Linked DNA regions of Ovis aries. The protein of the gene in region 1 interacts with the protein of each later gene in a pairwise test. Links are inferred from orthologs where the notes say so. Each region holds a gene or a part of one and is shown in the gene's direction. Other genes may lie near its edges. The genes, in order: SNCAIP and NUB1.

What was found.
Region 2: the proteins of SNCAIP (region 1) and NUB1 interact in a two-hybrid assay, tested with the Homo sapiens proteins (2 studies listed by BioGRID). The link is inferred for Ovis aries from reciprocal best matches to the Homo sapiens genes SNCAIP and NUB1.

Annotation. Positions count from the first base shown.
Region 1 is NC_056058.1:29,123,998-29,127,807, reverse strand, and holds part of SNCAIP (synphilin-1), read left to right. Parts: coding exon 1-324; intron 325-1,920; coding exon 1,921-2,100; intron 2,101-3,810. UniProt on the Homo sapiens protein: Isoform 2 inhibits the ubiquitin ligase activity of SIAH1 and inhibits proteasomal degradation of target proteins. Isoform 2 inhibits autoubiquitination and proteasomal degradation of SIAH1, and thereby increases cellular levels of SIAH.
Region 2 is NC_056057.1:115,512,968-115,517,573, forward strand, and holds the start of NUB1 (NEDD8 ultimate buster 1), read left to right. Parts: upstream 1-1,702; 5' UTR 1,703-1,855; exon of another isoform or gene 1,856-3,919; intron 3,920-4,606. UniProt on the Homo sapiens protein: Specific down-regulator of the NEDD8 conjugation system. Recruits NEDD8, UBD, and their conjugates to the proteasome for degradation. Isoform 1 promotes the degradation of NEDD8 more efficiently than isoform 2.

The DNA of each region.
Region 1 (3,810 bases):
CAGCAGAAGCTCTCCCCTGAAGAATCAGAGAGTTCTCCTCCTCCCGTTAAATGTGGCTCTGCTTATGAGCCTGAAAACCAGGGTAAGGACGTCCTACACAAGACCTTCAGTGATCCTCACAGTCGGAAAGTTGACAAGGCGATGGCACCAGACTGCCAGCTCAGGGCCTTCCATCTGCAGTCCTCGGCAACAGACCCCAAACTTGAGGAGCAGATCGGTGGCATGAACTGGACCAGCTCCCAGGGGCCCGAAGAAAGGAGCGAGCACCTGAAAAAAGTAAAAAGCGTCTTGAACATTGTTAGAGAAGGGCAGATATCTCTCCTGGTGAGTATGAACTAATTCATTACACACACTAACCATCTAGATCTCCAGCTTTATCAACTCCGTTCACCAGTAACAGAATGATAATGCTTTTGTTCCAATTTTTGTTTAATCTCTGCTCACGGCTTTAGTTGGGCAATGTGACTTTGGAGTTTTAAAATTAAAAGTTAGGTGGTTAATGTAAGGAAAAACAAATGGCTATAGAGGGAGTATTATTTCACTTGAACTGTGCATGAATTCAACTGTAATAAAGACATGTACTCTAAAGGAAAAGCAAAACCAAAAAAAGCCCAGCACTTTAAAAAATACGAATCTTAATGTCTTTCCTTTTGCTTTTCAAATGGTTCCCAATGCTCTCGCTGAGTTATTTGTGGGGATGTCAGTTCCTTGCTGATGGGGAACTGCCAGGTATATGAACAGAGGGTCTTCTGTTTTATCCTGATCATTATTCAGAAGACTTGGACCAGGACGTTTGAAAGCATTTGCAGATAGAGACTTACCCTAGAGCTTGATTGCCCTCTGACCCACACGGAGTTTTTATTTAGTTCCAGGTCTGCATGTCTAGGGAGCATAAAGAAGCTTTTCCAGAGACTCTAGACACAGAGTAACATGATGTAAGAAAAGTCTGTTCTGCTTAGGCTCAGAGAAAACTAAACTGAAATCACATTCCATCTGCCTACATTGTTCTTTCCTGGCTTCCAGACATGGATCAAACAGTAGTAAGCCTGAGCTGACACTGTGGTGTTAATTAAAGTCTCATTCAAGGAAAATCATCACATCTTGGCCATGTGATTCTACTCATGGTAAAGCTGTGCATAGATAAATGTAATGCACTTGGTCTATTACCACAAATTTTAGAGTTATAATAGGATGATATCATTGAACAATTTTACTAAGTAAAGTAATTTTTTTTTTTTTTTTTGTCTCTTGAAAATGTCTTTTCCATTTCTCCTGGCTCTTCCTCTCTGGTTCATTCCTTTCTTTTATCTTTCCCATGTTTTTATGTTTCCCAAATGATAATAACTCTCAATTTACCCAACAGTCTTTATCGATGAGTCATGCTCAGGGCAATGAACTTCACTAGAGGTGAAGAAACCAGAGTCCAGAGATGCCCAGGAGTTTGTTTAGGGGTGAAAGTGCCTTGAGGTACCCAGGGGAGTACAGACTACAGCACCCATCATGAGGCTTGCTGTCAGAACCAGCTCTCTAAAGCTCAAGGCAAAGCAGATGGTTAAGATAGGTAGTTCATTCATTCAGCAAACCTACCGCAGGGAATAAAGCAGAGTCTGGCCCTCAGAACACATAGCAGGAGTGGAGGAGACAGACAAGAAACCTGCTGGTTGCCATGGGTTGTTAGAAAGCTGGCTTGGAGCCTCTACAGACCCGTTGACTCATCTTTGTTGCCTGTCTCCCATGAAAGTAAGTCACTTGAGCATTCCTGTGCTTTCATAGCAAGGAATTCTGACTTATTACAACCCCATGACTGTCACCAGGGCTTCTGGAAGTTCATCTCTTCTTCCCAAGGCCCGGAGCAAAACCCCCACAGCTTCTCATTCTGTTTTATTGACTTAAGTTTTCCTCGTCTTACTATGTGTACAGCCACACCTAGCTGCCGACAATCTAGACAAAATTCACGACGAAAGTGGAAACAATCTCTTACACGTTGCCGCATCGCAGGGGCACGCAGAGTGCCTGCAGCACCTCACTTCTTTGATGGGAGAAGACTGCCTCAACGAGCGAAATGTGGAGAAGTTGACTCCAGCAGGCCTGGCCATCAAGGTGACTGGTAGTTGGGGGCTGGGCCCTCCACATGTTCCTGCCTTGTAAGATTTCTAGTAAACTTAAATGTTAGAGTGGAAAGAGAGAAGAGTGATGTTCCAAGCAAACAGCAAACGAACCTATTGTTTTTAAAAGGTTAACCATCTCAGTCACTAACTGCTTTGAGATTTTGAGACTATATTCCAATTTAGGGTAAGCATCAAAACAGCTAATAAAGAGAAAGGAAAATGATCTGTTGCCATTTTAAGAACTTTTGTTATTCATGGTGACTGCAGTTTGGATTCTTAACCACCTCTGGATCTATGTGAGGCTGTTTCATTTTTTTTCCTAATGTGAGTATAAATGAGCACGATGAATGGGGAATAAGTGTATGGTAAGGCATGCTAGCCCAGCACTCAGGAGGATTTCAGAGAATAAAGTGGACCTCTAATGGATTACATCTGAAGTTGAAGCGTCTGCAGTATCAGGAGTTCTTTAGAATATCGGTGCCGAGTTTGAGTTTGGCTCTCGCAGAGCACAATATGTTATCTGTCAAAAACTAGGCAAATTAATGCCGACTGGGATAGAGTTAAAACCTAGAAACAGTGATACAGGAAAATGTTGTCTTTTATAGCACTGTAGTGAGTGCCTCTGTAAAATGTAACACATCACTAGAAGGTTAGCTATTAAACTAAAATTACTTTTAAGATCTTTGGCAAATAAATGTGGAATTCAGTCACATTTATTAAGAAGCCAGAAGTGAAGTTTGGGGAAATATAATACATCTTGTGCTTCTGCATTTGTACTTTGCTTTGCTTAATAGTTATGGCTTCTAAAAGCTGAATAATCATAATTTTTACAAATAGAATTATATTGAAATATACTAGGGGAACTTGCTGGTTAAAGTCTCTTTGTGAATTCACTAAGGAACATGTTATATTTGAAAAGCAATTTCCTTCCCTTGTATACCTCTTACGCAAATCTAAATTTTTGTATCTTCAATTTATTTATCATTCAGCAAAGTTTTACATTGTTAAAAAGTTGCTTTCTATTGTGTTTAATGTTACTCAGTGATTAGGTTTTTTGCTCATATAAGAAATCCATGACCCCAGTGGATAGATATCATTTTTCCTTAGTTGTCAATGATGCTATGTCAAATAAGAGCTGAACTGCCATCAAGAAAAAAGAAAAAACAAATGTGAGTGAAAATTCAGTATAGTGAAGTTAAACAGTATTTTTGAGTCCACCAGACATTGTTTTAAGATGCTGGCAAAACGAATGTGAATGAGACATAGTCTCTTTTCTTAAGGAACTGATAGCCTGGTGGATAAGGCAGGTAAGTTACCAGTGCAGGACGGTGAATTCAGGATCTAGTCCCATGTCAGAATCCTGTGGGAAGGCAAGAATTGGGTTTGGTAATCAGTGGGACTGTCAGTCATGACTAAAATATTCTTTCAGTGCCAGTGATTGCTGACATCTACCTTGTCATTTTAGTATTTATAAAATACAGTGCTCATTAGTTTTCCTCACTAGTGGTGGGTTTTGAATATATGTTAACTACATAATTGTAGTTAAGTCTTCCCTAGTGGCTCAGACAGTAAAGAGTCTGCCTGCAGTGTGGTAGACCTGGATTCAACCCCTGGGTCAGGAAGATCCCCTGGAGAAAAAAATGGCAACCCACTCCAGTATTCTTGCCTGGAAAAATCCCATGGACAGAGGAGCCTGTGGGCT
Region 2 (4,606 bases), on another chromosome or scaffold:
CAAACTCACGTCCATGGAGTGGGTGATGCCACCCAACCATTTTATCCTCTGTTGCCCTTTTCTCCTCCTGCCAGCATCAGGGTCTTTTCCAATGAGTTGGCTCTCTTCCCATCAGGTGGCCAAAGTATTGGAACTTCAGCTTCAGCATCAGTCCTTCCAATGAATATTCAGGACTGATTTCCTCTAGGATGGACTGGTTTGATCTCCTTGCACACATTTCTCTCCCCTAAAATGGACTTAGGCACACATCCCACCCAAGGCTTCTTCCCCCAGGGGCAGAAGGGCACCAGGAGGAGGGGTCATGCTTCCCTCTCCTTGTGGAGTGTGTCAGAGAGTTTGCAAAGCCCCTTTCAGACAGTCTGCAGCTCCTGGAGTAATTCTAGACACAACACTTTGTTTCAGGGAATGTTTGTGCAGGGGCAAACGGGAGGGTGGGGTACTGATATTATCTTCCCAGGTGAGGTGGAGGCTGGGCAGCTTGCCTAGATCCCCAGGGCTGAAGCCAGTTGCCACGTGCAGGGCCCAGGACAGTGCTAGAGAAGGTCCCAGGATGGGCCTTGGATTTGGTTAATGTGCTGCCCAAGCGAGCTGGGGCCTTGGGTTTGGAATGGAAGAACCAACAGTCTCATCCGAGCGAGAAGTTTCTGGGCTCTGCCATGGGCTCTATCTTGCCTTCCCATTCTTCGATTCGGTCCTACCGAAGGCGGATCTAACCATCTCTGGAAGCTATGCTATGACCTGTGCTCAACCAGCGGGCTTTGAGCTCCATTAGTTCCAGACAAGCCTGTCTTATGTCCTCCCCTAGACACAGGACACAGGCGTCAGGCCAGGGGCTTAGATGACTGAGTACAGGGGTGGGCAAAGCGCTTCGGGAGCAGGCCGATTGCCAGAGGTCCTGTCAGCAATAGCATGTGGAGACAGGGTCAGCAGGGCCAGCAAAACCAGCAGAGAAGTACGAGGGCAAGGGGCCGGGAAGTTCACCAAAGCGGAGGCCTGGGCCGAGTGATGCACGGAGGGATGAAAAGCTGGACTTTTAGAGGGGTCATCATGTTAGACCCAGTCCGGGGGTGGGATGGGGGTTGGGGGGCGGGGGCGGACCCAGCTGCACTAAGTCCAGACTTTCCCGCCGTGGGGGGAGAAGGGGCTTGCTCCAAGGTGCTCTGGCCTCTTTCGAGGATTCTGAAGGAATGAAGCCAAGCTCAATTTCCTCAGAAGTCAGGTAAACTTGGCCGGGACAGCGGCCCCGCCCAACACCGCCTTGGTCCTCACGGGCGGTCCCCAGGGTTGCGGGCTGAGTCTTCCCGCCAGCCCCGCCCCCGACCCCCGGAAAGTCCCCCGGGCGGTCAACGCCCAGGCTCCTTCTCGCTCTCCTCTCTGCCCCGCCCACATCCGATCGCCCCAGGCTCTAGCCCCGCCCCTTGCCCAGCCCCGCCCACCCTTGCCCCGCCCTTCCGCCTCGCCCCCCCTCGCCCCGCCTCTCACCCCAGCTGCGCCCCATCCGTGTCCAGCTCTCCCGCCTTAGCCCCGCCCACAGCCTACCCACAACCCCGCCCGGCCCCCTCTTAGCCCCGCCCATACCCCTGCTTCTCGGCCTCGCGGGGACGGGGCGGGGCGGCCCGGCGGCGGCGGCGGCCTCGGCGGCGGGGGCGGGGCCGGCCTCACCCGGAATGAAAATAAACGGCGGCCGCAGCCGCATCCGGGCACTCGGCGGGTCGCGGCTGGCGCAGCTGTGGCGCAGGTGAGGAGATGGCGGCCGAGCGTCCGGTCCTTGACCCGGGTGTCAGCCGCGCCGCCCGGCGCCCTAGTTCCCCCCAGGCGTGACCCCGACGCCGACCCCGCCCGGGCAGCGGCGGAGGTGGGCGCCCTGCGCGGAGACTCGGCCGGGACCGGGGGCGGCGGGTCGGGGCTTCTGGACGCACCGGGCCCTTCGCCCGGCCCTGGGTTTGCTCTGGGCTGACGCGGGTGGTGGGTATTTAAAACGAGAGATTGAAATGTTTTTGGAGGGAGGCAGAGAAACATATGTATATGTTAAAATTACTCACTGGCCATACAAAAAGCTTGAATCGTAACATTGTTACGCCATTTGGGATTTATTTGCAATCAAAGACAGATTTTCTTTTCCTGTTTAATGAGAAAACGCGGTTTATTTTCTCCAGCCCTGACGATCAGATTCTGTATGTTTCTCAACGTCTTCCCACACTCTCATTTTTTAATAGAAGATTCTTGTAATAGTGTAAGAGGGAAAAGTACTGTATTTTGAATAAGTATATGTGTGTTTGTATATGTTTGAAAACCTCTGGATAAAGGCAGCGTAGATCGATTTATTTAAAAAATGAAAGCGAAATGTTACAGGAATGATTTATACCCTTTCACTTTCGGTTTACAGCATGGGTATTAATGAATTTCTGCTTTTTGACGGGGACTGTGACACGGAACATTGTGTAGCAAGCCTGAAACTTTCAGTTTTCCAATTAACGTTGAAAACTGACTTATTAAACCGTTTCCCTTTTGATTTGAGTTAAAATACATATCCTCGTTTTTTTTGTTGTTGTTGTTGCCCATGAGTGGTTTTGTAAGTTTTAAGACAATGGTTTAATCTTTTTTTCAAACATTAAGTGGTGGACTGGAGACCCTCCTTGCTGTGTATTTGCTGGTGGGCGGAGTGTGGACGAGGAGAAGGCAATGGCACCCCACTCCAGTACTCTTGCCTGGAAAATCCCATGGATGGAGAAGCCTGGTAGGCTGCAGTCCATGGGGTCACTAGGAGTCAGACACGACTGAACAACATAACTTTCACTTTTCACTTTCCTGCATTGGAGAAGGAAATGGCAACCCACTCCAGTATTCTCGCCTGGAGAATCCTAGGGACGGGGGAGCCTGGTGGGCTGCGGTCTATGGAGTCGCACAGAGTCGGACACGACTGAAGCGACTTAGCAGCAGCAGCAGCAGCAGCAGGAGTGTGGGCCACACACTAGGTTTAGGAAATCCTTTGAGACTTCCGCTTGGTAGTTACTTGGATTACAGAGGGCTGTGCATTCAGCCTTCTAAAATGGCTTGGCTTCCCTGAATGGCCCTTGAAATGGTTACCACCCCCTCACAAGTGATACTTAATTGGGAATTTCTGAACATTTGTGAGCGGGGCTTCCCCTGTGGCTCTGTGGTAAAGAATCCGCCTCCCGGTGCAGGAGACGCAGGAGATGTGGGTTTGATCCCTGGGTCAGAAACATCCCTTGGAGGAGGAAATGGCAACCCATTCCAGAATTCCTGCCTGGAAAATTACATGGACAGAGGGGCCTGGCAGACTACAGTCCAATTTTATGTGTGAGAAGCAGTTTATTAGTGCTTGAAAAACTGGGGTTCTTTCTTAGGTTACCTGGATGCATACATCCCCCTCTTTGATCTGTTTTCCCCTTTTTCCCTTCTCCCCCCTATCCTGATTACCCTCTTTCTTGCCCCCAAATTGATATAAAGTGGATTTGAACTTTCTTTTTAAAGTACTTGCTTACAGAATACACTAAAGTTGTCAAACTTGATTTAGAAATCAGGTGAATTGAATTTGAGGAGTGTGGAATACAGGCCCTGAATAGGAAAAAGTTGCTCATCTAGGTTATGTTAAGTCTTACCTACTTTTTCACTCTCTGGAACATGTCTCCATCCTTCAGGGGCTACTAACCTTTGATTTTGGTCACTGCTCATCTGACTTGGGTGCACTGCCCCATCAGCTGTTTCACTCTCTGGCAGCCTCACCCACCTTTGAGATGCTAGTGCTAGTGAAGGAGGCGTGAAAGACTCCACTGCTGTGTGAGCGCAGGACAGAGAAGCAGCAGGGACTTCGCAGAGGCGGTAGAACGCAGTGATCCAGTGTTGCGGGCACAAGTCCCAGGACTAGTTATGGCGCTGCCTAATCTTTCATCCTTGAGTGAGTCCTTTTACAGACTTGGGCTGTGGCTTTTCGTGTGTAAGATGATGACCCGGCCAGTATTGATTTGAATAGGATGAGTAGATCTGCTTTTATGCTTCTATCAGAAAATATCATGCAAAACTTCTCTAGCACTGTAAACACTAAAGTTTTAGCTTAATTCTCTTATTTTTAAAAATATTTGTTTATTTTGGTGGGCCCAGGCCTTAGTTGTGGCATCCAGAGACTTTGTGTGGCATGTGGGCTCTGGTTCCCTGACCAGGGATGGAACCCAGCCCCCCTGCATTGGAAGCACAGAGTCATAACTCTGGACCACCAGAAAAATCCCTAAATTTTCAATTTTAAAATTTCAGATATAGAAAATGTATATTATTGATAGTTCATGGTTCAAGCTAGCTCTTCTTTATATTTACCTGCCAGGGTGATTGCTCTTTTGTGTTAAAATAGCCAACATACAGAGCCACTGTATTTTGGTAAATTCTTTACCACAGAGCCACTGTGTTGAGTTGTTTAAGTTTGCTGCTTTAAGGATCTATCTTTCTTATTTTATCTTTCCTCTTAGAGAGTGATAGCAGTTAAGAAATAGAACAGGCTTCCCTGGTGGCTCAGTGGTAAAGGATCCGCCTGCCAATGCAGGAGATGTGGGTTCAATCCCTGGGTCAAGAAGATTCCCCTGGAGAAGGCAAT